3 linked regions of the Drosophila melanogaster genome follow. The protein of the gene in region 1 interacts with the protein of each later gene in a pairwise test. Each region holds a gene or a part of one and is shown in the gene's direction. Other genes may lie near its edges. The genes, in order: CG16863, CG10431 and hng2.

Region 1 (9,992 bases):
CCTGCTGGGCCACAATGGAGCTGGAAAAACAACCATGATGAACATGATAATGGGTAGGGACTCAAACTCAATTCGCTTCCTCGGCCATCCAATGCACATGTTGATTCTCTTTCAGGATTGGTACCAAAGGATTCGGGCAAGATAATTGTGTGCAGTGAGCGCGATGTGGCCTCCTATCGCCACCTGATTGGATTCTGTCCGCAGCACAGCGTTTTCATGAGCTACATGACATGTCACCAGCACTTGGAGTTCTTTGCCCAGCTGCGGGGAGCTTGCCGATCCGATGCACGCGATTGGGCAGATGAGAAACTTAAGAAGCTGGGACTTAGCGATAAGCGAAACGAATTCGGCAAGAATTTGTCTGGAGGCATGAAGAGGCGTTTATCACTGGGTATCGCCATTGCCGGTAACACCAAGTAAACTTAAGAGATATATTGCTTAAAGATATTCGGTTTAAAAATCTTTGTTTAATCTCGCAGAATCGTAATCCTTGACGAACCATCATCGGGATTGGACATTAACTCGCGTCGTGAGCTGTGGGACATCCTACTTAATCTACGCAAGGAGAAGGCCGTTCTGGTCACCACGCACTACATGGAGGAGGCCGAGGTCCTTGGGGATACCATCTGCATATTGGCCAATGGAAAACTGCAGAGCATCGGGAGTCCTTTGGAATTAAAACGAAAATCGGGAATTGGTTATCGTCTCAAATTAGAGATCAACGATTTTACATCAAGAGAAGTGGAAATCATGGAAATAATCCATCACTTTGTGCCAACAGCCAGAGTCTTGGTAAGTCATTAATAAATGAACTTTATATAAGGCGTGTGCATAATATCCTTTAAACGTTGAACAGAATGTGGTGAATCCTACTGTGTATATCTGCCTGCCGTATGCCTATAAAAATTGTTTCGCACAAATGCTTTATAGGCTGGAGACTGAATCAAAGGAACTGGGCATACATACAATTTCCATGACCGACACTTCCCTGGAGGATGTTTTCCTAAGGTAGGGATTGGAAGATACATTGTTTATTGTTTTTGCTTTAATATCTTATGTGGTGTTTTAGATGCGCAGGCGAACAGGATCAAGTGGATACCCCCGATGGTTCGCGCAATGATGCGCCGCTACTGGCACACTACAAAAGACTCCAAGACCATCCCCCTCATCGCGGACTTTTTCAACTTTGGATGGCTGTGTTTTACAAAAAGTGGACCTTTATTTCCAATGAATGGTTATATACTCTGATAATGGTAAGTTGTTAGCAATTTGTAGGACTTTGCTCTGTTGTATAAACGGCGAAAACAACTAAAACTAAAACGAACTAAAAACTTTTTGTGCTCCCCTCTCGCTAGCTGTGCATTCCCTTTGTATGCGTATTCGGGGCTATACTGGTGATGCACGCCATGTCCTTGGTGGAGAACGAAGAGGCTCTGCCGCTGAAGCTCAGCCAGATGGGCAGTGGCGTTATATACGTTCACAATCCAACGGGCCATCACGCCCATTTGGAGCAGCAGCTGCGTCAACAGATCGAGCTGAATGGAATCACAGCGAAAACAATGCACCTGCGTGGGAGTAATGATGTGAAAAATGGTGAGTATGCGACGTTGTGCTAAACATTTTAATGGCTCTATCAATACATGTGTTCTCTAGAATCCCTTGACTTACAACGCGACAACTTGGCTGATTTCTTGGAGCAGGTGATTGGCATTATTGACATGTACGGAGGTGGGCGTGGCACCTCCGATACGCCCACCATTGAGATTTTTTACTCAGGCAATCGCTACCACAGCTCTGTGGAGCTTATCAACCTGGTGGACTCGGCAATGCTGAAGCTAGGGCGTCCAGAGTCTGAAATTGATACGACTTACGTGCCAATTCGTCGATTTGTTAGCGACATAAGTCCATCGCGCCTCGAATACTATGCGGTCATCGTGCCGATCGGCATGTTCTTCTTCATGTTCTATTTCATCTCATTGCCGTTTCGGGAATATGCCAATGGATTCAAACAGCTGCAGACCATGTCGCGATTTACTTATTGGTTTGCGCATTTTACTTTTGATATGCTGATCCTGATCTTCGTCTGCGTTGCCCTGTTCAGTCTGCAATCCTTGATGATGCCCTCGGAGCTGTATACAACGGCTGAACTTAAGGTCATTGTGTTAAGCATATTTTTCTACGGCTGCAGCTACCTGCCCATTCTATACGCCCTGGGAAACAACTTTAAGTCGATATCCACGATATCTACTTATTTGCTTTTGATGCTGATTGTGTCCGGTAATATTATTTGATTTTATAACCAGTGACAACAATTAGAAAAACTATAAAACCCATTTTCTTTTAGCCATTGCCCCACTTATCACCTCCAGCAATGCGGCGGCCATGAAACTGCATGAGACCAAGATCGCCTTCCTCTGCTTCCTACCGGACTTCAATCTTAATCACCAGTTTCGCATCATCAATGAAAACTTTATAACCCGACGCCATCCGGCACTTATAAAGGGTCTTATCAGCCAGGACACCTTCTTTGCCTATGCCACCGCCGTGGGTGTTATGGTCATGGCATTCTTTACCATAGTCCTGGAACACAAGTATCTGCGCAGACGAATTCATGATGGCATCTGGGAATGGGCATTCCAAAGAAAGAAATACAATTCGACAGGCACCCTTCCCAGTACTCCGATCTCAGAAATTGATGATTGTGCAAGGGAGGAAAAACGGGTTACCGATCTGATAAAAGACCCATTGAACGACCATTCACTGATTGTGCACAATCTTCGCAAGCGATACGGCGATAAGCTGGCTGTGGACGGAGTCAGCTTTGCGGCTGCCCAGGGTGAATGCTTTGGTCTGTTGGGTGTTAACGGAGCGGGTAAGACAAGTACCTTTCAGATGATAGCGGCCAATTTGCCTCTAGATGGTGGCACTATCCGCATCAAAGGCGCAGACATTCGCGAGCATGAGTTGAAATACCGGGAATACTTTGGCTACTGCCCTCAGTACGATGCACTAAATAAATTCATGACCGCCGAGCAGTGCCTATACTACATGGCATTGCTGCGCGGCCTGAGCCGCCGAAGGACCGATGGACCAGCCAGCTGCAAGGAGCACGTGAAGTACTGGCTAGAGAAGATGCATTTGACCAAATATCAAAAGGTGCAAGTGCGCCACTATTCGGGCGGCACGAAACGCAAGCTTCTGGCGGCAATGGCCATGATTGGTGCACCCGCACTGGTGCTCCTGGACGAACCTACCACCGGTGTGGATCCCATCTCGAGACGATTTCTTTGGCAATGCATCAAGGATTTCCAGGGAAAGGATCGAACAGTGGTGCTCACATCACATAGGTAAGCCCAAAAAAGTATATTTCCTTTTCAAACAGATTCAAAAGTGTACACATTCTCTACAAACAGCATGGACGAGTGCGAAGAGCTGTGCAATCGCTTGGCCATCATGGCGCACGGAAAGTTCAAGTGTCTGAACAATATTTGCGCCCTTAAGCGATTAAGCGGCTTCACGATAAAACTGAAAATGAAGGCGGACACCGAAACGGAGATGAATGTGTCCACGATCACTGGCACGTTGAAGTCAGAGTTTCCTGGTCTGGAACTGCGCGAGAGCCATGCCGGCACACTCACCTACTTTGTTAGCACGCAGGAGAGTGTGGTCCTTTGGTCAAGTGTTTTCAAGATAGCTGAGGAATATCTGGGCGATCGCTTAAGCGCTCTCGTGGCCGACTATTCGGTGAACGAGTGCACACTCGAGGATATTTTCCTCAAGTTCGAGAGAGAGGCGAAATCACAATCGACGTCACGTCAAACCTCCGTGCAACGCAGGCCGGAATGCAGCTACGTTTAGGCCAGATAGTCGGAGTGTCGGAGTATCAAGTAAGATAAGCAGAAGACGGGCGTCGTACATTTCATTATTTCCCTCAAATATGGAACTTTTATGAATCTCTATCCGGTGGGAATAATCTACTTAATGTATTTAGGGACTAATAAAACCAAACAAACACCTTCGACATGGGTATATAAAACTAAAATATAAAAGTAAGATATAACTAGTACGACAAATAAATAATATTTTTTATTTATATTATAATAAATATTTCTACATAATATTTGATGTGCATTGATTATGGGATTAAGGTAAATTATCATAATTCAAAAGAAGTTAAAAACAGTTTTATACCCTTCTATTGGTAGAGGAACAGGTATCTGATTGACGGGGAACTCGACTATAGCATTCTCCCGTTTTTTTTTTTTTTTAATTTAAAATCTCCCGCCTTAGTATTTTTAAAATACCACTCATAATAATACCAAAAGGAACTTTAAACGATCTATATTTGGAATTTAACGATTCATTCAAGAATTAAAAGTAATACATAATGTAATTTTTTTATCCAGCTTGACTATTGAATATTTAATTATGAGAAAAATAAATATAAAACTATTATTACTTGGACGACTTAGGCGCTAATGGAAATGTCAAATTCTCAAAAAATCTCCCACTTGGCCACACTAATGTAGCGTTATTTACAAAATATTCATTTTTTTCGTCGTTAATTTATCGTTTATGCCGAATATGTCGCGTAGCAGAATATGGAAGTTCTACGACAAGTTGGATCGGAATTCCGCGCAGTGCCAGCTCTGCGAGAAAGTAATCAAGACAAGCGGCAACACGTCCAATCTGATGAAGCACATGAAGACCCATCCGCAGATGTAGGAAAGGCTCCTGAGTTCAAAAACCTTTCACAATGAAAATTTTCTTGAAGAAACCTCTTCGACGACGATGTGGTGGTGGAGCGGGGCATATACAAGCGGCGGGAGCAGGATGACAAGCTGCGATTCCGGAAGGTTGTTCCCTTCAAGGAAGAGAGCTCTGATTTCCACAGCGAGCTGTTGTTCAAGGCTGCCAAGGATGCGAGCGGCATTATCGAGCTGGATGATCAAGGAATGATCAAGGCGGCTGCTGAGGATCGCATCTCAACAAAGAGCGTCGGGTATGCGTGGGTCTCTCCGGAGGCCACAGTGTCCCGAACGGAGACGGTTGGCGGCGACGATATCATCGAATTCGAACCCAAGGAGGAGCTCGATGAGTCGGAGAAAAGCCCACTTCCCCAAATTCATGCTGTACCATTTGCCGGCCATGAGTAAGTTTTAATCAAAAGATAGAAGGTAGAAGATAGATACAATTGTAGTAAACTTCATTTATTACCCAGCAACTTAAAAATGGAAGAACCTCTGCCGAGCGAGAGTCCGTTTCACAAGGACATTGCCTTCTTTGTCTGCCGTGACCGCCAGTCATTGCAGATTGTGCAGGGCGAGGGATTCCAGCACCTAGTGAAAGTACTGTGCCCCACCTACAGACCACCGAGTGCGGCGAAACTGGAGGCCATTATCTGCAGGGAGTCGGAAGCGCAGAGGTCCAAGCTCTGCCAGCAGTTGGCCGACATCTCGACACTCAGCCTAAGTTGCTCGGTGCACACGAATGCGGAGAGTCGAAGCTGGATGGAGCTGGTGGCCCACTTTCACGAGGGGCGGCAACGAATCTCCCGAACTCTTTCTGTGCTGCGCCTTCCCGATCTTTTCACCTCCAACGATCTGGTGGATCGCATGGACCAAGTGTGTCAGCGCTTCGACATTCCAAAGTCAAGGATCTGCTGCGTGTCGACAAGGAGCAGTCAACTACTGGAGGATGCGGTGACATCGTTCATGGGCGCTCATCATCATGTTCCCTGCTTCGCAGACCAATTGAATTCTATTTTAGAGGAGGTGGTGCAGCGCCCAGAAATACGTCATTTGCGCGACAAGGTGCGTTCCCATGTGCAGTCCACATTGCAGCTGAATCCCCAACTGGATTCCATACACCGACCGATTAGTGTGTACAATATGCTAGACTTATACCTGAAACAGACTCTCGTTCAAGAGCCGCTGCCGCTTTCGACATCGGAGGTGGATTTGTGTCAGCAATTGCTGGACGTGCTGAGGCCGTTGACCAGCTCCATGCGTGAGCTAAGTCGAACACCATATCCGGCGGCCAGCACAGCCCTGCCCATTGCCCAAACTCTGATCAACGAACTGAAGCAGGAGAAGAGTGCGGAACACATGGTTGCCAGGGAAATACGCTTGTTCCTGGTTCAGCAGCTGGAGGAGATCTTCGAACGAATGGAGCGCAACTTGCACCTGGCATTGGCAAGTCTGCTGGACCCACGCTTTCGAAATATTCCCTTCCGGAGTGGGGCCCTGGTGGCCCAGTACATGACTCAACTCTATGACATGATGCAGGCGCATGTGGACAGCGGGGAGCAAGCTGTTGCAAAGCATCCGGAGAACCGTGATCACTACGATATCTGGGCGGCATTCAAATCCTTTTCGCATGGGAAGCAAAGGATTGTAAACGGCAGCAACGGTCCCGAGGCGGACGATGAGATAGCCAGATACTTTTGCGCCGGCATGAGTACCCTGCGAGCCGATCCCTTTCAGCTCTGGGAGGAACTGGCCGAAGCTCACCCCTTCCTGCACAACGTAGCACAGAGGTACCTGCACGTTCCGGCCACCGCAGAGCCGGCGGATCGGCTATTTACGGCCGAAGGAGCGGCGGTTGCGGCGCAGTACGCCAGACTAATCGAAAACAACATGGAAAACATACTCTTCATGGCGGAAATTCCAACGAAGGAGTGGCAGTTATAGCGTAGTCCATAATCAATCCAAACCTAAGTTGAGCACTGTGTTTTTGTACCCCTTTTATTAACTAATTTATTAATTTACATTTACAATAATGCGAACTATAAAATACATTTTTTAACTTTTTAGCTTCTCAAGCGTTAAGGAACTATTTTTGTATTAGAAAATTAGAGGTAGGGAACGAATAACGAACACATATTCATTAAAGATTTGTAAGTACTATTTACTACACATATTTACACAAATAATTTATTTTAAATATAACTTTATTGTTTACTTTTTTCTTTTGTTATCACAAATCGCCGTTACAAATTCAAATAACAATAACACCAGCAAATTAGCAAAAATACCAAAACCGAGAGAATACCAAAAACTTCCCAACACTGCCGACAGCTCAGTAATTTTCGCTTACACGGTCACACTTCTGATGACGTTTTTTCGTATTTTGAAGGGAATGTAAATGTGGAAAAACTGAGAGATTTGCAACATGCAAACATCCACGACACGCTAAAAACTCACCGAGTGCCGCCACACGACAATCCAACCGAGAGGAGCACTCCGCACAGCTGGCGGAGCACCCAGAAGGCAGCAGGCGAAAGTTGCGTGGCTGTTGTTTCCGGAAGCGGTGGGCAGAGGGAAATCCGAAGCAGTGGTAGTAGGGAAAGAGGCATCGAAACCCACCCAGCGAAGGCGACCTTGGGAGTGGCAGCGGCCCAATATGCACAACAACTCCACAAAAACCAAGGAAATGTTCATCGTGCGTGCTCTAGAAAAGATCCTTGCCGATAAGGACATACGGCGCTCCCATCACTCGCAGCTGAAGAAGTCCTGCGATTCGGCGCTGGAGCAGATTAAGGCGGAGCTAATCAGTGCCGGCCAGATCGCAGAGGGCAATGAGCTGCCCTGTGCCGCACTCCCGCTGCCCAAGAATGATGCAGCGAGCATCATAAATGCGGAGACCTACTTTCTCCCCTTCGAGCTTGCCTGCAAGAGCCGCTCGCCCAGGATCGTGGTCACCGCACTGGACTGCCTGCAGAAACTCATTGCCTATGGCCATTTGACAGGATCCATTCAGGACTCGGCCAATCCGGGTCACCTGCTCATCGACCGTATCGTTGTGACCATATATGGCTGCTTCAGTGGTCCCCAGACGGACGAGGCCGTCCAACTGCAGATAATAAAGGCTCTGCTCACGGTGGTCACCTCGCAGCATGTGGAAATCCATGAATTCACACTGCTGCAAGCTGTGCGCACCTGCTACGACATCTATTTGTCCAGCAAGAACCTGGTCAATCAGACCACAGCACGCGCTACGCTCACCCAAATGTTGAACGTGATATTTGCCCGCATGGAGAATCAAGTGTACGAGCTACCACCTCCCAATTCCAATCCCACCAACGGCAGCATCCACTCGGAGGATTGCAATGGCTCGGGAGAGGAGTCGCTGCGGGATTCCGACGAAGTAATTGCCTCGGAACTGCTGGCGGAGATCATATCAGGTGCGTGGCACTCGGTGGAGAAAGTTTGATAAACAGATGTTTCTTGTTAAGCTGAAGTTGCTTATTATTCTACTTAACTCGCTTAGATTTAACTATTTTTCAATATTTTCAAGAAACGTAATTAAGTTCATAAAATATTTCTTATCGGATGGGAAAAAATTGTATGAATCATTTACAGTACGATACGATAAGGTCCAACATAAAATTCCACTCCTCCAAACCGTCTAATTATCATTGCGCGAAAATAATGACAGTTACGTTTTTCAGCTGCCTACAATGAGGCGATGAAGGATCAGGAATCGGTCGGTGAGCCAGAGCCAACACTTAATGGAAACGACTACTCCTCGCACTCGGATCACGACAGTGTGGAGCTGCACAGCGAAAACGATGCGGTTGTAACGGCTAAGTTTACGCACATCCTGCAGAAAGATGCTTTTCTCGTGTTCCGGGCACTGTGCAAGCTATCGATGAAGCCTTTGCCGGATGGACATCCAGATCCGAAATCGCACGAGCTGCGTTCCAAGGTGCTGTCATTGCATCTGCTGCTGCTCATCCTCCAGAATGCCGGGCCCGTCTTCCGCTCCAACGAGATGTTCATCATGGCCATTAAGCAGTACCTGTGCGTGGCCTTGTCAAACAACGGAGTCAGTCTGGTGCCGGAGGTCTTCGAGCTGTCGCTTTCAATCTTCGTTGCCCTACTCTCGAACTTCAAGGTGCATCTTAAGCGGCAGATAGAGGTGTTCTTCAAGGAAATCTTCCTAAACATTCTTGAGGCGAACTCAAGCAGCTTCGAGCACAAATGGATGGTAATCCAAGCGCTGACACGTATTTGTGCTGACGCCCAGTCCGTGGTGGATATCTATGTTAATTACGATTGCGACTTTTCGGCTGCAAACCTTTTTGAGAGACTGGTCAACGATCTTTCGAAAATTGCCCAGGGTCGTCAGGCTCTCGAACTGGGCGCCAATCCGATGCAAGAGAAATCGATGCGCATTCGCGGCCTGGAGTGTCTTGTCTCCATTCTTAAGTGCATGGTAGAGTGGAGTAAGGACTTGTATGTTAATCCAAACATGCCGGTTCCACCTATGCAAGTCCAATCGCCGACAAGCACTGAGCAGGATCAGGCGGACACAACTATCCAAACGATGCACAGTGGTTCCAGTCATAGTTTGAACTCCAATCAGGAGCAACTACAGGATCTTCCCGAGGCATTGGAGGAGCGCAAGATGCGCAAGGAAGTGATGGAAACAGGCATTGAGTTATTCAATCGTAAGCCTCAGAAAGGAGTGCAATTCCTGCAGGAGAAGCAGTTGCTGGGTGCCACATGCGGGGACATTGCGCGCTGGCTGCACGAGGACGAACGACTGGACAAGACAGTGATCGGAAACTACATTGGCGAGAATGACGACCACTCCAAGGAAGTGATGTGCGCTTACATCGATGCCTTTGACTTTCGCCAAATGGAGGTGGTGGCCGCCTTGAGATTTCTTCTCGAGGGGTTCCGCCTGCCAGGAGAAGCACAAAAAATCGATCGGCTGATGGAGAAGTTCGCCAGTAGATACTGCGAATGCAATCCGAAGAACCAGCTATTCCAAAGCGCAGACACCGTCTACGTGCTGGCATTCAGCATCATTATGCTGACCACGGATCTTCATTCGCCGCAGGTCAAGCACAAGATGACCAAGGAGCAGTACATTAAAATGAACCGCGGCATCAGCGACAGCAAGTCCGATTTGCCCGAGGAGTACTTGTCGTCCATCTACGACGAGATTTCTGAACACGAAATTAAGATGAAGAACAACTCCGG
Region 2 (11,547 bases), 5.2 Mb from region 1:
ACAGGGTATGCCCGACAACAGCTGACTAATTGCCAGCGGCGCCAGCGCAGCGCAAAACAAAATTACGAATCGAGTCCGCTTGCCAAAAGTATAAAAAGTAAAAAACACTACGTAATGGCTAAAGGAAAGGTGGCGAATGGCTGGCCAGGCGGTGGGTGAGCAATCGTTAGATGATCAAATGTTGGGCGGAGGGTACTGGTGCCAGGCCAACAAGGAGGCACTTGCACTGCAGGATGATGTGGAGTGGAGCACTCCGCATTTCAAGGACAAGGACACAGCACAGGCGATTTCCTTAGGGGCGAACTTTGCCATTTAGCTCGGCGAAAGGTGAAAAACGGAAGACTGTCGGAGACAGTCGGCTGATGAGTGTTGGTCTTGCCGCTTCATTGGCTAAATTAACATAATTGATTCAATTGATTTGTGGCCATGTGTAGTGGCTACGGGAATTCAATGGGTATTCCATGGAAAAACCAACCAGAACCGTAACTGTGTTTGTACAGTCGGGTTTCTCTAACGCGGACACCCATTTGTCACAATAGAAATGCTGGCATTTCTGGTTTTGGCAAAAATAAACTCTTTAAAGACTGACATAAATTTGGACGAAATATCTGCACGCCATTAGAGAGCCGAGTTATGGACATAAATATGTAGTTCTATGCCAAGGGCAAAATTGCAGTTCAATTAGTTGGAATTTAGGTTACAAACCAGTATTTAGTATTCATAATTAATGAAATAATTTAAAATGTTTTACAGTTTTATTAAAAGATAATATATCAAAGTCAGATTTTAGCTGTTTTGAGTTTAACATCTTATACAGAAATTATTGGGAGTAATTTATTTGGATTTAATCGGAAATGCGACAAGTGGTGTCCCCAATTATGGAGGATACGCAGCTGATTTTTATGCTCTCTAGCGCTTTGAGTACGCCCCACATTTGGGAGTTCTCGCGCTGAAGGGGTTTATCTAATCTGTGACGAGGGGCGAGACCGAAAAGCGGACGGCAGGCTACTGCCCACCTGTAAATCAGGCAGGTGATAAGCATAATCGCGGGCGACGTGTTGTAGGTAGGGGAATGGGAGCACATATATAAGAGTGTATATATAGTCGTCTACCTTCTGCCAGGACATCCTCCACGGTGACCGTGACGCGTCCCACTGTGAAGACCTTGCCCACGAAGCTGTTCTTCTCGTTCGAGGACGACGAGCTGCTGCTGTTGGGCGGATTCTCCAGTCGAGAGTTCTCATTGCGCTCGAACTTAGACAGGATTTTCTTCATTTTCCCCCGATTTTCACTAGAAAATGTTTACTGCCCCAGCAGCACAACACACACACACACACTCGCGAGCACACACGCACACTAGCTAACACGGTCTTAATTGCCTGCGCGTAGGTGTTTTTGGCAATTTTTAATTTTGCGAGGGCGGCTGACGGTGGGCGGGGCGTCGGTGCCGCTGGCCAATTAATCCACTTTCGAGTCGTATCGGCTAGCTGAATAAAGCTATTCTGCGCACTTTGTGTTTTTGCATGCACACACACAATGCAGTGGAAAAAGAAAGTTGTTCGATTTTCCTGCTGCTCTCGAGTTGTTGGGCCAGTGTGACCAGGGCGCTTTGCTGCAGTCAGATGCGCAACCCGCGGCTGGTGCAGCCGCCTATCGATATATAGATAAGTTGGTTGCAATCTCGAAATTCTGAAAACAAGGAAATCCCCGTTTACAAAATAGGTTTTATGATAACAATTTTTTGTAATTTGATCCAATTTAAAAAGATAATATGGTTCTACTTTCAATAAAACATATAGCTACAGTTGCATTAAACTATCGCGCAGTTTTAATTAGCTATGCTGCCAACATCGTGTTTCCCTTATCAATATGTTATCGATTGTGCTGGTGCAATTGTAAACAAGCATCTCTAGCAAATGGTCGCTAAATTCGCAAAATTGTAGTTTGCTGGGATAACAATGATAAATACGGCCAAGTACTTTGCTCTTCTAGAGAGTTTAAGGTTTAGTAAAGCTCTAGGTAAATTGGTTAACATCATATAATAATTGTAGTATCCCTAATACTAATATTTCGACAGCAAATACGGCGAATAACTCAGGGACTGCCGAAGCCTTGGAAATCAACCTGCGAATTTTGGAAAAATATGCTAAACTCGAGATTGGTCAGCAATTGCATGAGCTGTGCCTGGAATATCAGTTAACAGACGATCACGAATCTAGTATTGATCCCGATTCGGATCGTACTATATGCTATATAATAAGATTGCAACATGTGCTACATTCGATCATGAGGAACATTAATTTCCACAGCGACGCCAAGGAGGATCTTATTTCGGTAGCGCACCTGAAATTGTGTATCCAGGCTTCCCAAGAATTATCATATTACTCGCTTCGATGCCAGCTACATGAGGATTTCTACAAGTCGCCCATCTTTTGTGAGGCTCAGGGGAAAATCAAAGCTAACTTTTCATTGATGCTTCTAAGCATTCAGTTCTTTATTAATCTACTGCATATTCGACAATACCACATAGCCAACTCGATGGAGCTGGTGCAAAGGGATCTACTGGCGGCCATTGTGAGTCTACGTGTGCAGCAAGACTCTCCACTGCTGGATAAGGCTATAGCCTACCTCTGGCAATATGAATCCAAAGCAGATTTCTTTCGCAACATCTTGCTTTTTAAAGCTACGACTCTCTGCCCAACTCTGGCCCAATTATTGCACCGTCAACTCTTAGGAAAGCTTCACTTACCCCAAGGATTTGCTAGTCTTGTTGAGGCCCTGCATCAAAATCCCAATGTGAATTCTTCCAGAAATGCGGAAATTGTGGCTAGTATTGTGGCCAGAAAAGGATTTTCTCAGTTAGCGCAAGAGAAGATGGTTCTCCAGGTGCTAGAATATTGTAAGTTCTATCTGCAGAATGCGGACAAAATGTGCGCCGGTGTCCTATCGCTCAGAAGACTTTACGATTTAAGTGATACAAATCAAAAGCTGATAAAAGAAATATTATTCAAACACTGGGAAACGCTTTGTAACCCAGAAGACATTATTAATGGCCTTATCTTAATGGATCACCAGGAACTGTGCAATCGCATTCTCTTATGGCAGCATCTCTTTTGTTCTTCAACCGTAGCTTGCTTACCCAGTAATCTACTCGTTCCCTACCTTCCTTTGCTGCTCCAACTCTACGATGGCCTTCCAATGGAATTACCGGCGTCATCGCAGATTTCTGCCATTATTTTGCGTTGTCTGGACAACAGAGAAATGAAAAACGAATTACCTGCGATACTCCAGAAGCTGTTTAAATGGGAAATTGAGAAGGAACCTCCTTGGAAGTGTTTAAACCCACGCATTATAATCCTGCCTTCCATGAACACAACTCAAATTCAGGTTAAAGTAGCTCACAAAGATCATCTAGCAGATCACGATATGGGCAGAATATTGCCCGGTCTACTCACATCAAGCTCTCATCATTCCCTCACCTGCAAAGTTTTCCTCTCTCTTCTGGGCTTCATAGCTAAACAGATAAATGATAAATCTTCAGCCAGCGTAGATTTTATTTCATCAGAAGCAGAGCTCAAAGACTTTCTGCACTCCAAATATCAACTGAAGCTAGATTTGCTCATTGCTTTAAACCAAATGGTAGCCCACCAACCATTAAGAGCTCAGCTATCACAACATACCAAGGAGCTTCTACATATACTAAAAGACTTGCTTGTCCACCGATCTAGAGAGCAAGATACCACGGATCAGATCCTACTTCTCGTTCTAAACCTCTTGCAGGAAATTCTTGAGGGCAGTGAGAATATTCAACTTTCAGAGGCCTGTAAGGAACTGAAAGAACAATTGCACCTGTTGGGTACTCGATCTTCCAACCCTCTTATCCAGCAATCTGTAAAATCATTGCTTACAATAATTCACGGCGCATGGCGACCAAGTGAGGCTGTTAAAATACAACCTTTTCAAAGAGCTCGGTCCTTGATAGAGGAAAAACAATCCCACATGCAAGTGTATGGAATTCAGATGATGATTGATTTGCTGAAAAAAAGAGATCCTGCTACCTTAGCGCAGGGTCAACTTATCATAGCGTTAGCCCTGACCACTCTCAAGGATAAGGAATCCTACACCTTCTTAAATTGTGTTCGGCTCTTTGTGTCGCTTGTTCATGTGATGGAGTCCGATGTGCTGGACAAATTGAGTGATGAGTACCTATCAGAGACGGCTCACTTAGACTACCGCCTCGTAGTGGGTGAAGCTATTCTGAAAGTCGCTCAGGAGTTGGGTAAGCAATGTTCTACACAGCTAAGAATAACTCCTAAACTTTCATACTAATCCCATCCAGGTCCTCTTTGCTTTCGATACAAGGCTGTTCTTCTCAACTGCTTCATGTACGGCTCCCGGTCTCCTGTTCACGAATTCCGGATGTCAGCCTTTGCCAATCTTGCCCAGCTTTGTCGCCTTTTGGCCTTTCAAGTGCAGAACTTCTTCCACGAGTTACTCCAACTTGTTAATAGCGAATTAACCACCGGAGGATATGTTCCCTCTAAGCGTGCAGCAGTCCTGGTCTTAGCTGAACTATTAAACGGCATGGAGAACCTTCTGGATTACCAGGAAATGTTACTCCCCATTTATCGCCTTTTAAAAGCGATTGAAGCGGATGAATCCTGTGATCCTCAAATGCGTCAGCATGCTGCAAACGGTCTGAAAATTTTAAACAAAAAGTGCACAAAACTGATACAATCTGCCTTGGAGGAGAAATCATTACAGAAGCAGATTAAGGTGTTGGGCATTAAGGACGATGATTCACCTCAAAGAAGAAACCGACATATACTGGAACTGAATTAAAGGCTATCTTAGAAACCTACACAAGTTTTAATTTTGTTTTATACACAATAGATCAATATTACAGTTTCGAAAAGAAATGCGATAGTGGCGAATCAGTACAGACATTACTGACATAAAGGCAGAACAGAAAATAGGACTTAGTTTTGGACTTTGGTTACATTATTTGGGATAGAGGCATCACTTGCCGATAGAGAACTCATTCTCGATCTTGTCTGCGATCATCTTGGCAATGGCCAAGCTACTAGTAGCGCCCGGCGATGGGGCGTTTCTGCAGTGAAGCACTCGCTTGGCTAGCGCTCCCGATCCTTGTCCGCGATCGAAAACAAAATCGTCCACCAGATTGCCATCCAGATCCATTGCTTGGGCACGTACTCCAGCGGGACCACGCTGGATATCGTACTCCGTAATATCCGGGATGTACTTCTGCAACGCCTTGATCTGCAGGTTAATGAACCACGATTTGGACATCTCGCTGAGTCCGAAACCGATGTACTTGCTCGCCATCTTTACGAAGCCCGGATAGCGCAGGGCGTCGAAAAGCTCGAAAAGATTAATGTCACCCCAGCTGGAAGAAGTGAAGTGTCAGACAAGTTTAAATATGAGCTCTAAGAAGACTTACGTGTAACCTTCGCGTTTCAGAGCCAGAACGGCATTTGGTCCCAGCCAGATAGATCCGTCCATTCGCGGCGTAAAGTGAACTCCCAGGAAGGGGAAACGTGGATCCGGCACCGGATAAATATTACCCTTGACCATATGCTGTTTTTCCTTGGTCAGCAGCAGATACTCTCCACGGAAAGGCACGATGCGGGGGTCTCTGGGGCATCCAGTCTTCTCAGCCAGCAGGTCGGATTGCAAACCGCCACAGGTTAATACGTTCTTGGTACGAACCGTTTGACCGGGCTTAGCGCCATGGATGGTCACTGGGTAGTCGGTGCCCTCCTTGGTCTCGGTAAACTTGCTGACATTGAAGTCCAGGTAGATATCACCACCGCACTGTTTGAAATCCTGACCATAATGCTCGGTAACCAATCCCCAGTCAACGATACCAGTGTGCGGACTGTGGAGCGCCATCACTCCCTGGCAGTAGGGTTCGATCTCCTGAATCTCGCTGCCTTCGATCATTCGCAGATCCGGTACGTTGTTGGCAATGCCACGCTTCTCCAAATCCTTCAGCAGCTTCACTTCTTTCTCATCCGTGGCCACAATTAGCTTCCCGGTTTTCTTGTACGGGATCTTTTTTTCATCCAGATAAGCGTAGGCCAAATGCATGCCCTCCACGCAAAGGCGGGCTTTCAGGGTTCCAGGCTTATAGTAGATGCCAGCATGGATGACGCCGGAGTTGTGGCCGCTCTGGTGCTTTGCCAGCTTGCACTCCTTCTCCAGGACAGCCACTTTGAGGGATGGATGGCGCAGGACAATCTCCCGGGCAGATGCGGCGCCGACGATGCCACCACCAACGACAACCAGATCATAATCTCTGAGGGAATACAAAACATATCAGCTAACAGCCTCAAAAATTAAATAAACTTAAGACTTCTAAAGTTTTTAAAAGTTAGAAAGATGTTTGTATATCCGTTAGAGTAAAGAGTGTGCGGGCACGTTTTTGATTAGGATCATCAGTCAAGTCGATCTAGCCATATCAATATGTTCATCGACTGTCAGACCGCAAGAACGTCGAGATCTTGGGAACTAATAAGTAAGATAAAGGCTGCAGATTGCAGTGAAAAGACTATGCTATGCAATTAAGAATACAAAAGTAAATAGAATATACATTGCTTAACTAAACATGATTTTAAAAGCGCATTCTAAATGAAAAGAAGCTTACTTAGCTCATTTGGAACACCTAAATGATATTCTGCAAACAGTGAAAAGATTCTTAGGATCGGAACACCCCCGAAAATGAGAGAACCCTATCGTAATCTCAAGAGACTTACCCGCAGCTCGACGAGCTGTGCTGCGATCTTTTGTGGGTCGCTGTGGATTCGTTGGGCGCGGCCACGCCCACATTGAGTAGGCTACGCCGAAGTCCCTGTACCAGCAGTCGCACCTGAGCCATTTCTCTTTCTTTTATGCTTTCACCACCCGCGCACGCACGTAGAATTTAGATTATTTACCAACCCGAAAAGAAAGACCTTGCTTGACCTTGCCTTCTCCTCCGCCAACTTGTGCGTACAGCGCGCTTTCGAGCGAATCGACAGACTGAAGCCCGTGGAAGTTTTCCGTGGGGCGAGAGAAAATAAATATGCTCACGGGCCGAGCATCTGGGCGATTTGTGGGGCCGAGGGGCGATCATAAACGCGCTAATTGATAAGTGTGACGGATTATTTTTGAAAGGGGGTGGTTGGGTAAGGACGTGTGTGTCAGCTGTTCGGTTTGTTGATAAGATTTAATGTGCCCAGCTGCCATTTTGCAAATTTTCTGTAATCTAACAATATTAAAATTTTTATTTCATTTTAAATATTTCAGGTTATACGATCATGCTGATTACTCGACTAAAAAGTATTTACAAGAAACAAACATATAATTTTAACCCTAAATTTGCTTTTATTCGATACGGAATCCCATTATATTTGGTCGTATTTGATAGCAAACACAAATGAATAAAGTTTCGTTATTAATTCAGAACTGCAAGAAAAAAGACCGCTATCAACAATATGTGAGACGCATTTTCCAACACTGAACACTTCAGAAGCAAAACAAAACCAGCTGATTTAGCAAACAACAGCTAGCTCACAGATGTAAACAACAGAAATTTGCAAATTATTACAAATTATTGTACCATAAATACCTTAAGATGCCCGCCCACTGCGCCGTGATAAATTGCAGCCATAAGTATGTGCACGCGGGCAGCATTTCATTTCACAGGTAAGTGAGTTGATTTTCAATTGACAAGATTACACTATAGCTTCTATTCTCCCAAAGATTTCCATTCAAACGGAAGGATCTTCTACAGAAATGGAAGGAATTTACCCAGAGGAGTGCTCAGTGGATGCCCTCAAAATGGAGTGCGCTGTGCAGTCGGCACTTTGGTGATGAGGACTTTAATTGCAGCAATAATCGGAAAACGCTTAAGAAAAATGCTGTGCCATCAATTAGGGTTTCGGAAGATGACTCCATGAGTGGGCACTTGGAACAGGTGTCCCCAAGCAATAGGCCAACGCACAAGCAAACTCTTTCTAGTGCCGCCGAATCAGCAGCAACAGGTGTTAAAGCCACTTGCCGCTTTTGTGGTTCCTCGGCCATCAATTGCTCCTCGTTTGACAAGAGTTTTGAGCTCTTTGGCATGATCCAGAAGTGCTTTCCTACGCTACAGATTCTTCAGGACGACACCTTGCCCAAGGAAATATGCCAGGAGTGCTGCCTCCAATTGGAGCGCTTTTCCCAGTTCATCGATGTGGTGATGTTGGCGCAGAGTGAATTGCAAAGAAAATACCGCCGACAACTGAAAATCAAACAGGAACCCTTGGTTCGTGTGAAACAGGAGGCCTGCGAGAGCTTGGACAATCTTTTTCCTGATGAACTGGACATGGGTTTGGAGCAGGACGATGGCTGCGATCAGGAAGAAACTGAACAAAAGTTTCAGTTCTGCGAGTTCCCTATGCTAAATGCCCAAGACATTATCAACAATTGTGATATCATGGAGATAATCAATCTGGACGATCCGTTTATCAATATTCCAGACGATGCGGATGTGGGACAGTCGGAGAGACTACAGCCTGGAAGAACGGCTAATGAAATGCTGCAAAACGAACTCCTAACCGAAGAGCACAATTATGCGAAGGAGGAGTGGCAACTACCCCCGCATCAGTACAAAACGGAAAAGGTGGAGGGAACGGATGCTGCGCCAGACGCAGCTCCTCCGCCTGCTGATCCCCCTCCTCTTCAGGATAATATAGACCCTCCCTCGGCCCCCGAACCGCGCTCATGCAAGCCCATTGTGACCAATGTAAGCCAGATACCTAACCCAATGATCTGCGAGCTGCTGCCACAGCCTGCTCCTCCCACGTCGATCAAACCCAACATCGTGGTACTTAACGATAGTGTGGTCGAATCCTCAGCGGCTTTTCGGCTTCACAACTGCACTTTGTGCACTGCCAAATTTATAACAATAGATAGCTTAAATCAGCATTATGCACACAGTCACAGTAATTCCACTCCCATGGTTAGTGTTCCTCCGATGAATATATGCCTTCCCAGCTTAACCATGAACCCTCCAATGAAAATGGAAAGCAACAGAGGTCTTGTGGCCACTGAACAATCCGAATACTGGCCGTTGGAGTGGCATAATAGTCCTGTATCCAAGCAACCTAGGAAAAAGATTGATATACTAGATATGCAGAGTAGTTTCCTGCATCACAAAGACCTTATACCGACAGCCACTCAACTGTCAGCACCCGCACCTGATCCTCAACTGGTTGCAGTGACTGCTAGCTACGCTAAACTGGCTAACAGGTATCGTAAGTTGCAGCTGAAATGCAAAAAACTGAAGTCACCAAGGAAGGTGCACAGAAAAACCTATGTGTGCCGGATGTGCAGGAAGGGATTTTCAAAGTTTAAGAACTTACACCACCACCGTCGTCAGAAAGCACACTTTGTAAAGTTAATACCCAATTTTTCAGGACGCTGTTCTGGTTGCCTAAAGTTTTTTCGATCCCGCTTGGGTCTTCGCCAGCATATGCGATACATATGTCAATCGTTGTCGCTCAAAAACCATCGGCGCCTTCAGAGCTTCAAGTGTCGCCACTGCCAGGCCATCGCCTTTGCCCACTGGCGCCTGTATCGTCGTCATGAACTCAATTGCAGGCCCAAAAAATCCAAAACTAAGGTGCAGACGGCAATGAATTCGAAAAAGAAAGTTACGCCCACCCAAGTATTTGAGTGTAATATTTGTAAAAAATCATTCGGTTCGCTCAACGGACTACGCCAGCATAACATCACCCACTCGACGGAGCGGCAACACAAGTGCGGCATCTGTGAGCGGGTCTTCAAGCGACGCAACGGATTGTCTCAACACATTAAGGGCTACCACCTGCAGCTCAAGCCGCATGAGTGTCCGGTTTGCCAGCATCGCTACGCCCTGAAATGCGATATGCTGAGGTGCAGGCATTCCCTGCGAAAAGGTCCAGCTGCCGGGGAGTAACAGGAAGCCCTGGAGATGACTCACGATTGGACAAGGAAATGGTATTTACTCAAGCAAATGCTATAATCTTGGAGGTAAAACCAATTTGTTTTCTAAAAAACAATGTGCGATAACACGCCACTACAATTTTCTTTCCACAGATGATCTGAATCTCGATGCACTAAATGCATTAAGCCTAGTCACTCTATGGGGTACTTAGTTGGTGGTCTTCCAGTACGGCACGCAAGGTGATGAAGGGTTCGCAGCGGGAATGAAATTGGCGCTAGTCAAGGTTACTTACAATAAGTAATTTAACCTAATTAAACCGACGCTTCATTGAGCAGGAACGAGGTTTCGCAAATCGGAACAACATTTTTGAAAAGGTTGAAAGGGGGAAAACTAAAGGCGATCTTAAATATTTTGTATTATATACATTTATTTATTTAAATTGCAGTATAAGTTTGTAGTAAACGTTCTCTAAAAGTACGTGTATTTTCTTGTGTATTCGTATTTAACGCATTAGTATTGCTTAAATCGCTAACTTTAAACGTGAAATACTGAATCGAAACTTATTGTTTTACTTTAGGCTGATCCAAGCAAAAAACTAAGATTGACTGCCAACATAGGATTAGTATATACAAAGAAGGTTGAATTTCACAAGTTTATTTGCTTAATATAACTATCAATTTTATTTTTAACAAAACTAAAACGAAGAACATAAAAATGGCACTAAAAGTACAAAATCATAAAGTAAAAAGCATACATTTTGGAGAACCCTCAAGGATAAACGTAATTCAACAATGAAATTTTGCGCAACACCAAACAATAAAGTAGTTCTTAATCTAAAACATTTTAAACTTAACTAAAGGTTAACTATAAATACGCTTTTGGTATGATCGTTATTAATGTACGTATGTATGCATATGTCCCTGGCTAGAGTGGCTCAGTTTGGTTGGTTTTAAAAAAATATATATTAGAAATTGAACGTTATATTTTGTTACTTGATAAGTTGTGATGGGTACTTCAAAGATCCAAAACAAACATTAGTCAAAGATAACATTCAATTCCCAAGATGTTTTTGCCAGCAAATCGAGTTTTTATATGTATGGGGCGATAAGTATGAATATAATTAGAGTATGTGATGCTTGAAAAATGCTTGTACGAAGCGTATCCTCTTCTCCCGGGATTAGTTCCACATTCGATTAACCTACGCCAGATAATTACTCGCTAGACTAAGGGCGAACCTAAGTCCTCTACTGGAAGATCGCTGCCCGCTGCTGGAACTGCTGACGCCGCTGGGCCCGCTCCTCCTCCTCTCGCCGGCGCTCCTCCTGCTCCGCCCGAATCTCGTCGTGGAACTTGTTCGTCCGCAGCTGTTGCTCAATTTTCGCCTCGAAGAAGTTCTTGGCTCCGCTCACTCCCACCTGCTCCACATCGACCTCCGTGAGGCGGGCCAGCTGATTCAGCCCAGAATCGGAGTCCAGTTCCCCGGCCTGGGCCTTCCTGAAGATCAGCAAGAACTCTCGGAATGAAATCTTGCCATCGTTATCCTCGTCCACCTCGGCAATCATCTGCTTGAGTCCCAG
Region 3 (9,301 bases), on another chromosome or scaffold:
GCCCATTACTCATCGCGGAAAACGTGAACGAAAAGCAAGTTGCCGCCTGTCTGCTAGGAACTTTATTGTTTTAAACTGTAATACGTGCTAAAGGCCAACCCCATCACATAAATATGGTAAGTCCGGCTGGAAATAATCCGAGGCTAACCAAGTGAATCCCAATCATGGACTCGTCCGCGAGCGGCATGAGATTGTAAACATAACCTGCAAAGAAGCTTCTCGCAAGCCGACGACATCTGCTGACTAATTGGAGACTTTTACTATATATTCGCCTTATATCCGTATGATCCGCAGCAACCGCAAATCGTGCTCCTCAAAGAAGGCACTGACTCGTCGCAGGGCAAGCCGCAACTGGTGTCCAACATCAATGCCTGCCAGTCGATCGTGGACGCAGTGCGGACCACTCTGGGTCCCCGCGGCATGGACAAGCTGATTGTGGATGCCCACGGCAAGGCGACGATTTCCAACGATGGAGCCACCATCATGAAGCTGCTGGAGATCATCCACCCGGCGGCCAAGACCCTGGTGGACATTGCCAAGTCACAAGACGCCGAGGTAAGTGATTGGCACCCCTGAGACGCACGTGACACTGCTAAAGCTTTGATTCGACTTCTCCTTCAGGTGGGTGACGGCACCACGTCCGTGGTTCTGCTGGCCGGCGAGTTCCTTAAGCAGGTGAAACCCTTCGTGGAGGAGGGAGTGCACCCACGAGTCATCATTAAGGCCATCCGCAAGGCCCTGCAGCTCTGCATGGAAAAGATCAACGAAATGGCCGTCCAAATTGTCGAACAGTCCAAGGACCAGCAGCGTGCTCTCCTTGAGAAGTGCGCAGCCACTGCCATGTCCTCCAAGTTGATTCACCAGCAGAAGGACTTCTTCTCCCGCATTGTAGTCGATGCTGTGCTCTCCCTGGATGAGCTGCTGCCCCTCAACATGATTGGAATTAAGAAGGTGACCGGTGGCTCGCTGGAGGAGTCACAGCTAGTGTCGGGTGTGGCCTTCAAGAAGACCTTTTCCTATGCCGGCTTTGAAATGGCCCCCAAATCCTATGACAACTGCAAAATTGCCCTGCTCAACATCGAATTGGAGCTTAAGGCTGAGCGCGATAACGCCGAGATCCGCGTAGACAACGTCAAGGAGTACCAAAAGGTGGTCGACGCCGAGTGGCAGATCCTCTACAACAAGCTGGCTAAGATCCACGAGTCCGGCGCCAATGTTGTCCTCTCCAAGCTGCCCATCGGTGATGTGGCCACACAGTATTTCGCCGACCGCGACATATTCTGCGCCGGCCGCGTTCCCGAAGAAGATCTTAAGCGCACCATGAAGGCTTGCGGTGGAGCCGTAATGACGACGGCCAACGACATTAAGCCCAATGTACTCGGCCTGTGCGAACATTTCGAGGAGCGCCAAGTGGGCGGCGAACGTTTCAACCTCTTCCAAGGTAAGAATCTTATTCGTATACTTAATTGAAGGACTCGTTTTAACAACCACTTGTTATTTTCCATTTTAAATAGGCTGCCCCAATGCCAAGACGAGCACCCTTATTCTGCGTGGCGGTGCCGAACAGTTTCTGGAGGAGACTGAGCGATCCCTCCACGACGCAATTATGATCGTGCGGCGCACCATCAAGCACGATTCCGTTGTGGCCGGCGGCGGTGCCATTGAAATGGAGTTGTCCAAGCTGCTGCGGGACTATTCGCGCACCATTGCCGGTAAGGAGCAGCTGCTGATTGCTGCCATCGCCAAGGGCCTGGAGATCATTCCTCGCCAGCTGTGCGACAACGCCGGTTTCGATGCCACCAACATTCTCAACAAGTTGCGCCAGAAGCACGCCCAGGGTGAGTGTCCAATGGTATTTGTCCATACAAAGCCACCTTAACGATGAGTGAATTTGAAATTTATATTTGAAAGGGGGAAGGATAAGTTTTTATTTTAAAGAACTTGTGTGTGAAACTTTAAACAAAAAACATTTGTTCCTCTTAACGAATGATAATCCATTTTTATTCACTTCGTCCAATTGTCTGTCTGATTACTTTTTTGAGCTGCTCATGCCAGAGAAGGAAGCAGGGTTCCTGGCATAGACCCGGCTTATCGGGACAGGTGTTGCACATGTACCTGCTGAACTGCAGCATTCCGCCTTTGTGGCAATAGCGGCAGTTTTTCTTGGCCGGCTTCCCGTTCTGCTGGATAAGCATGGGTTCGTGTAGAATGGTCTTCAACCTGGGCTCGGGCACCGGCTTGTTCTTTGACCGTTCATATGTCTCTGGCTTCTGGATACTAGTTACCGGTTCGTTCGTCACTTCTTCTCTTAGAAGCGACTTTATGATGATCACCCGGAACTCCGAGTAACTTTTAAGATGTCCGACTCGCGCATTCTGGCCATTAGCAAAGTATAGCAAATAGGCATTGTACACGAGGATGTTGAGTAGGAAAATGGTCAACTTTATGTTTGCCTTCAGCTCCTTGCAGGCAGCTTGGTAGTGGATCAGGTGGTGGCGACCGTCGTTTCCAGGTCGTAGTTGAAACTCGAGCTCCTGGATCAACTTAGGTTTTGCATTTGTCTTTTGCATGGCCATCTCCTTGGAATAAATGGCCAAGCAGTCAGAGCTGAAGCAGTACAAGCTCTTTGCCCGTCGTCGCCATTTGGCCATCATCAGAGAAGTGGCATAGCTGGTGGAGATGCTGTTGGAATCCAACCGCTGGTGCACCAGTGCCTTACTGTTGCCATATCTATTCCTGTCCAGCAGACCAGTGCAATAGGTGCTTTTCTTGGCCAACTCCTGAGCCAGGCCGTAGCTTCCATAGAACTTTGAGGTGTACACAGTGCGTCCTCCATGGTAACCCTCCATTAGTTTCAGGACAATCTTGTTTCGGTGCTCCACCAACTGCCGGGAATTGCGTACCCATGCCGGTGCGTCTTCCTTCCGCACAATCTCCGGTAGAATCTTCACCACCAAACCGCTCTGCTCAGTTAGCATATGCAGCAGTAGTGCGTTGGTGCGGAATTTGTTTGGAAGTTCATCCTGGTATCTTAATGCACCCTTCCACAGAGTGATAGGTTCATTGAGCACCAGTTGCTGGCCACAAATGTATATCTCTTCCATACGCTCGTTGATAAAGTCTAGCAGTAGAGAGTTCTTCACTTTGGCTCTGCCCGCTTGTAGCTGCGGTGCATCAAAGTTAAGGCAGTGCAGCAGCTGCTGATACCGTTCCAGAGGAATCTTCCCAGAGAATCCGACGAGACCGTAAAACATGTTAGTGCTCCAGTAATCCGATAGGTGCTCCAGCTTCAGGTCACACATAAGCAGGGAAAGCGCCATAAAGATTTCCATTTCTTCGGCAGTTGTGGGATTGGACTTGAGCTCTCCTCCCTTTAGGTTGCAGCTTTGGGCCAGGGAACTGAAGAACTTGGAGCGATTTCCCAGCACTTGGTTGAAGTAGTGCTGTGGTCCCTGGAAGCGTTGTCCGAATTTCAGGCCACTCTGCTGGATGGGAAATTTGAAGAGCAGTCGGGAACCCGTCTGCTGGCTGGACCAATCTGGATCGTAGTCATCCATATCGTCTGGGTTTAAAAAGGATAATTTTATAAGTGGGGTCTTGAAATGACGGGAGGAGCACCCTTCTTACCCTGACAGAAGACATCTTCAGCTTGGTAATCGAGCTCTGAGTAGCCATCCTCGTCGGAATCACTCTCTTGCTGTTCCAATTCCAAGCGAATGGTGTTGCTGGCCGCCTGCTGCTCCGCCACCAGCTGCAATTGGAGTTCAGTGAGATCCGGCTTGATATCGGCCGTACTTAAATCGTAGTCTGCTAGCGCCGGATAGCCGTCCAAGGGTTCCGACTTGATGTCCACACTGCGTCGCTTCACCGGCGACCGGTGATCGTCCTGACGCGGCTTAAGTTGCTGCTTGCGCTTTCTTCCGGAGCTGGACATTTCGTTTGGCTGCGTTTTCTCTTCCAAATAATGTAAATACAGAGGAAATTTTAGCCGCAGCAACGCGTGTTTTTCTTCGACCTCACTGTCACTCGTCCTCTCTCACTCGAGTCACATGTGCTGTATGTTGTGCTCTTTCGCACCTTCTCAATTCGTTTATTGCGCGGGCTGTAAGCGGCGTTGCCACCTGAACGAAATGTTACCTGCAAAAATCGTTGGCGAATTCAAATCGGTCGTGTAATTTTGAACTCTAATTAATAATTATTATAATTTTATACATTTACCTTTTTACAGGAGGACAGTGGTACGGCGTCGACATCAACAAGGAAGACATTTCGGACAACTATGAGCAGTGCGTCTGGGAGCCGTCCATCATTAAGATCAATGCACTGACGGCGGCCGCCGAGGCAGCCTGCATGATCCTTTCCGTCGATGAGACAATAAAGAGTCCCAAGGCCGGAGAACCCCCGATGGCCGGCGGTGGCATGGGAATGGGCCGCGGAATGGGCAGGCCCATGTAAATAGAATCATTCAGAAATCCAGAGAACACTACACCCTAATCATCAAAACTCACTTGCATTTCTCTCCTAATTTAACACGTACACGTATTACTCGGTCATACCTTCGCATTTCGCACGCTTCGAAGCAAGAACAACAGCAACAATAATCCACTGACCTATCTGTATATGTTTAATAATAAAACACAAAATTGAAATTTGTATTTTCATAACATCAGAACGTTTTTAGTTTAAATGCGGGGCGAGGTGGCAACTCTGCGGGGAGTGCTGTTAAGCAGCTGCCCGTGGTGCTGTTAAACGCAAGCAACATATTGTCAATCCAATCCAACCCTTAAATAAACAATAAATAATGGGCAATCATAAAGTTCTTCGATCGGCAGGAAGCAATTTGCGCTATTCGATGTACGAGTTCATTGACGCGGTACACAAACGTTCTATTATATGGGAACGAAGCCACCCAAACTTCCATAACCGCGAACTCAGAGATGAGGCCTGGCAGCAAATTGGCCACGAGCTTTGCTCGAATTTTGACGACTCCAGCGAGCCGGAGAAGCAGGAAATAGGTAGGTGGTGGCTACCTTTTTGAGTCTATATCATACATAACTTCCAATTCCAGTTAAAACACTGCTCAAACGTTGGAAAAACACGAGGGACAGCTACCTACGGGTCAACCGACTACGTCAAAGTGGCGAGGAGGTGGCCAGAGCTTCCTACATCTACGAAAAGGAACTGAGTTTCCTGCTGAACGTGAAAGCAGAGTCGGAGGACGATGTAGAATCCTTGAAGGAGCAACCCAAGCCCCAGGCCAAACGGAAGCGAGTGAGCACTGCCGCACAGAGATCTGCAAAGACTCCACGAAAGAGAAACTCCGACCAAGAATCGAATATTGAGCCTGCCATCCGCAATCCAGCCATACCAAGCAACATAAATACGGTTCTGGGAGATCTGGGCTGCGCCAAGGAGGACACCGCCACTCCGGAAATCGCATATATTCCACAGTTACCATCAGATCCACCCTGCAGTACAAATACCGCCTACTTGTCCGCCGATCCTGATCAGGCCTTCTTCGACACCATTAAGCCTCACATGCAGCAGATGTGCGCCGATCGCAAGCTTGACTTTCAGATCGAGGTCCTGAAAATCCTACGAAACTTCAAGCCGAATTGAATATTCACTACAGAAGTCAAATCATTTACAAATGCATTTACAAGAAGGGCAAAATTCGTTTAACAGCAAGTTAACATAAGCAATAAGAATACATTTAATCGTTATCGTAAATCGTCTAATCTTTAGGGCGCGAAATTTAAATAATGAACTGTAATTTGTAATTTAATATACAAACAATAATATTCACAAACCAGGGGTTAAACTTTAATGCAACCAATGATTCAATTATTTTTTTTAGTTCTTAATAATGCGTCAAATAGTTTTCTCATAGTAACTTCTGTGTTTTGCGCAATGTATATATTATACGCTTACTTTTGTAATTTTTGATAATAATACAATAGTTGTAGAGTTATTTAAGACAATGAAAAAAACATTAAAAACAACATTAAATAATGTATAAAAAATATGCATTTTATTTTGTTTTAAACCATAAATTATCTAACGACGGCAATATATTTTTATACGTGGGTTTCAATATCAATTTCATACAACATGGATTTGTATGGAATTTCATATGAATATATATGCTCATATGTATATTAACTATGTATGCAAGCAAATTGTCCACATGTGTAATTGATATTTTTACATAAATCCCATGTTCTGTTATTCATCCCCCTAGCCACTACTTTCTTGGGCCGGATGCTGTCTCAATACATATTTATCGCCTGCAGCGAAATTTTAGTATAAACATAAACTGTCAAAACGATACATAAGCCATCGGATGGCCCATGTTCCAAAGCCGTTTGACCAGTTTCGGCTGATGTTGATACAAAAAAGAGTTGAAACCTGTATTCATACAGCTTGTACCTCTTATGCCAATCGAGTTTTCATTATGTATACCGATTTCTTCATGGTTTTTGTTCAACACAAAGGCACATTTATGGATTGTACGAGCGTATTTATAAGTCGACACTCCAGACGACACCCCTAAAAAGAAATCGCTGAAAACCGTTAAGGAACCCATAGGGGTAACACAGAGATTTGGATGCGGTGTCGGCTTTCAAGCGTTCCACACTGCTGGGAATTCCCTGAGTACCATCTATGGGGGGTACGACGATATCGTTACCCCGAATACCCGCCCCCACAATTCACCCGACAAATGGTACTCGTAACGTCCTGATGATGCCGTTCTCCTCGGGATCGCCCCATTCCATTTCCCACTTAACTGCATATGGTTTTTGTTAGTGGTTGTTTCGGGTTTCGGAAATTTCTGCCCGCGTTCGGGACCCTACCCTCCACTTCATCTATTAGCAACGGCTCTGGCAGCTGTTCTACCCTATTAAAAGGTCCCTTAGTTCCTCGATTCCGACTACCTGCATCTGCTGAATGGAAATGCACTGAAAACTTTATCGTATTTTCTTTTTTAAGTATTTTATTACTGTTATTTTGATTAGATTAAATGAATTGCTATGCAAGAAATGTAGATTCTACTGATAGGAAATCTACATCAATATCAATAAATCAATACTTCACGAAAATGATTGCAGGTGCAGTTTTTTAGGGAAAAATAAAACAAATAAAAATCAAGCAGAATTTTTGTTTAGGGTAAAATACTTATTTATCATGATTGCTTACTCTTCTAGGTCTAACTTAAATTTTTTGCAGTGTACAAAGGCATTCCCAGCGTGTGTAACGTACTTTCCAGCCTTAACGAAACCGGGCACCGAAGGGAATTTAGGGTATTCTACCCCTGGAATACCTCCCCTCGCATACCTGTAGCAATTCTGGGCATTGCAGTGAAATCGAATAATAGACAGGAAGTCCCTTCGATGTCTTTTATTCCTTTCAAGAGCCGAGCCGCTCTAGTAGATCATGGTGCAGCGATTGTGTCGACCCATGATGCTGGTCTTTGTTCTGTTTTATCCTAAAACTAAGTTCCTAATGTGGTGGTCCTAGGCATCTGAGCCCGACTCAGGTGGAGTTATCCAGAACAACCACCTGTGTGTTTTGGTATCTTCGCCAGGCACTCTCCGCCCTTTCCAAGTATTCACCGATCTCCTGTCGCTTGTTCAGAAGGTCGTACTTCTCTAGAGCCAACTTCAGGAGTACGTACTCCAGGCTTCGAATGCCTCCGAGATTGTTTGGATCCCTTAGGTTATCGACTAGGATTACGAATTTCTTGAGCAGCTCCACCAGCTGCCCAAAGTTGCTCAAATCGTCCAGATTAGCATCCACCTCGTTGACGTATCGCATACTCTGCTTAATCCTTCTGGCCAAATCGGTGCTCCTGCCAACCAGGGGTGAGAGCTCCGTATTCAGCTGTTGCACCGATCTGCGCGTATCGGTCACCTTCAGCAATGCGTCCTGATTATACTGATCCTGATCTGTCCACTGGGTCATCGGAGCCTTAGTAGTCGCTCCTTCGTTGTCCACCATAGATATCCGATCGTTCTCCACAATAATGGTCTTGTCGATGGTGTCGGATGCATTCGGCGGCTGCTGTACGTGAAAGTCCAAGGTGAAGTGAAACCGCATGCTACCCTATAAGGATTAGAAATTTTGTTAAGAAACATCCAGCAGGCTTGCACAATCGGAAACATGCCTGGACCAAAGTAAATGCTGCTAGGAAAACCAAAATAGTCTTAGAGGACCACATCTTGTCGGTGAACTGGGAAATGTTTGACTGATTCCAAGCTGAAATCTCACGATCAGACCACTTCATGCAATCCAAGCTCGACATCGACGCTTATCAAACCACGGGGTTATCACACATCGTTCCCACTTGACCGATAACAGATTCATTCACATTCAATGAGTTTTCTAGCTATGGGAATACATATTGCCAGACAAAGCGCAAGTCACGTGTTCGCCGAGATGAAAAGTCAATACAGTGAGGTGAGCGATTGCCAACCTAAAACCATTTCAAGGCGCTTGGAATAGCAAGTATTTCAATTTGCTGAAAGCTTCGTATCCAATATGACCTCTATGGAAACTAGTAAGTTCTTTGAACCTGCCGAGGGTATACAGAATTCAGAATTATCTTAAACTGACTAAACGAATGCCATATCATATGTGGTCTATTAATATTAATTAGTGGTAGTTGTATTGTAATAAAACAATGAGTATGCAGATTGTATGCATTATTGAGGGTGATCCAAAAAGCAGTTAATATTAATTGCCTGATATGGATATAGTTCCCATTTGGTATAAAAATTTAAACAATTTAAGAAAAAATGTGTGCTATATAAATATAATCTTAATACATGTGACATAAAAGATGGACTGGTTAATAGCCCGCATGGGTATTTGGAGTCCGTGAATCATCCACCTTTTTTGGGAACCCATTTCACAGAGTCATTTCCGTTACGAACTCAACCGAATTTCCGACTCTCTAAGGGTTAACATCTGCTTGACTACACTACGCTTATCATCCGTCTGAGGTAACAACAACCGCTCTTATCGCTATATATGATGTTTACGCGTGCAATAATAATTATAATGTACACAGAGCCACTATAGCGATAAGGTGCGAATGCTATCAGGGTCCGCAAGTACCCCACATATATGTACATATGTATATGTACACAGTCGAATGTTTGTTTGTGCGAAAGTATGCCTTAATTTAGAAAATGGTATCAAAGCAGGGCAGTTCATGGAAGCGAAGCCATGGCGATAGGGGCAGGCCAAAGAAAAGCATAAAATGTGGGAATACGAATGGGAATCAATAGTAGAAATTGCG

What was found.
Region 2: the proteins of CG16863 (region 1) and CG10431 interact in a two-hybrid assay, tested with the Drosophila melanogaster proteins (one large-scale study listed by BioGRID).
Region 3: the proteins of CG16863 (region 1) and hng2 interact in a two-hybrid assay, tested with the Drosophila melanogaster proteins (one large-scale study listed by BioGRID).

The regions. Positions count from the first base shown.
Region 1 is NT_033779.5:13,786,444-13,796,435, forward strand, and holds CG16863 (uncharacterized protein), read left to right. Parts: upstream 1-4,515; 5' UTR 4,516-4,584; coding exon 4,585-4,721; exon of another isoform or gene 4,722-4,774; coding exon 4,775-5,152; intron 5,153-5,221; coding exon 5,222-6,692; 3' UTR 6,693-6,821; downstream 6,822-9,992. Other genes in the region: Eato (engulfment ABC transporter in the ovary), read left to right, coding at 1-53, 116-416, 480-792, 857-1,008, 1,070-1,253, 1,356-1,593, 1,654-2,277, 2,345-3,347 and 1 more; Sec71 (secretory 71), read left to right, coding at 7,405-8,185, 8,453-9,992.
Region 2 is NT_033779.5:18,967,141-18,978,687, forward strand, and holds CG10431 (uncharacterized protein), read left to right. Parts: upstream 1-7,569; 5' UTR 7,570-7,636; coding exon 7,637-7,707; intron 7,708-7,764; coding exon 7,765-9,982; 3' UTR 9,983-10,056; intron 10,057-10,122; 3' UTR 10,123-11,047; downstream 11,048-11,547. Other genes in the region: Nak (Numb-associated kinase), read right to left, coding at 1,113-1,275; Tango6 (transport and golgi organization 6), read left to right, coding at 1,959-2,019, 2,078-4,279, 4,340-4,842; L2HGDH (L-2-hydroxyglutarate dehydrogenase), read right to left, coding at 5,020-5,407, 5,462-6,319, 6,777-6,898; Swip-1 (Swiprosin-1), read right to left, coding at 11,215-11,547.
Region 3 is NT_033777.3:8,801,565-8,810,865, forward strand, and holds hng2 (hinge2), read left to right. Parts: upstream 1-4,757; 5' UTR 4,758-4,801; coding exon 4,802-5,015; intron 5,016-5,068; coding exon 5,069-5,619; 3' UTR 5,620-6,017; downstream 6,018-9,301. Other genes in the region: CCT7 (chaperonin containing TCP1 subunit 7), read left to right, coding at 114-116, 295-555, 622-1,441, 1,515-1,838, 4,229-4,455; CG9839 (uncharacterized protein), read right to left, coding at 2,001-3,562, 3,628-3,934; CG9837 (uncharacterized protein), read right to left, coding at 7,534-8,103, 8,165-8,218.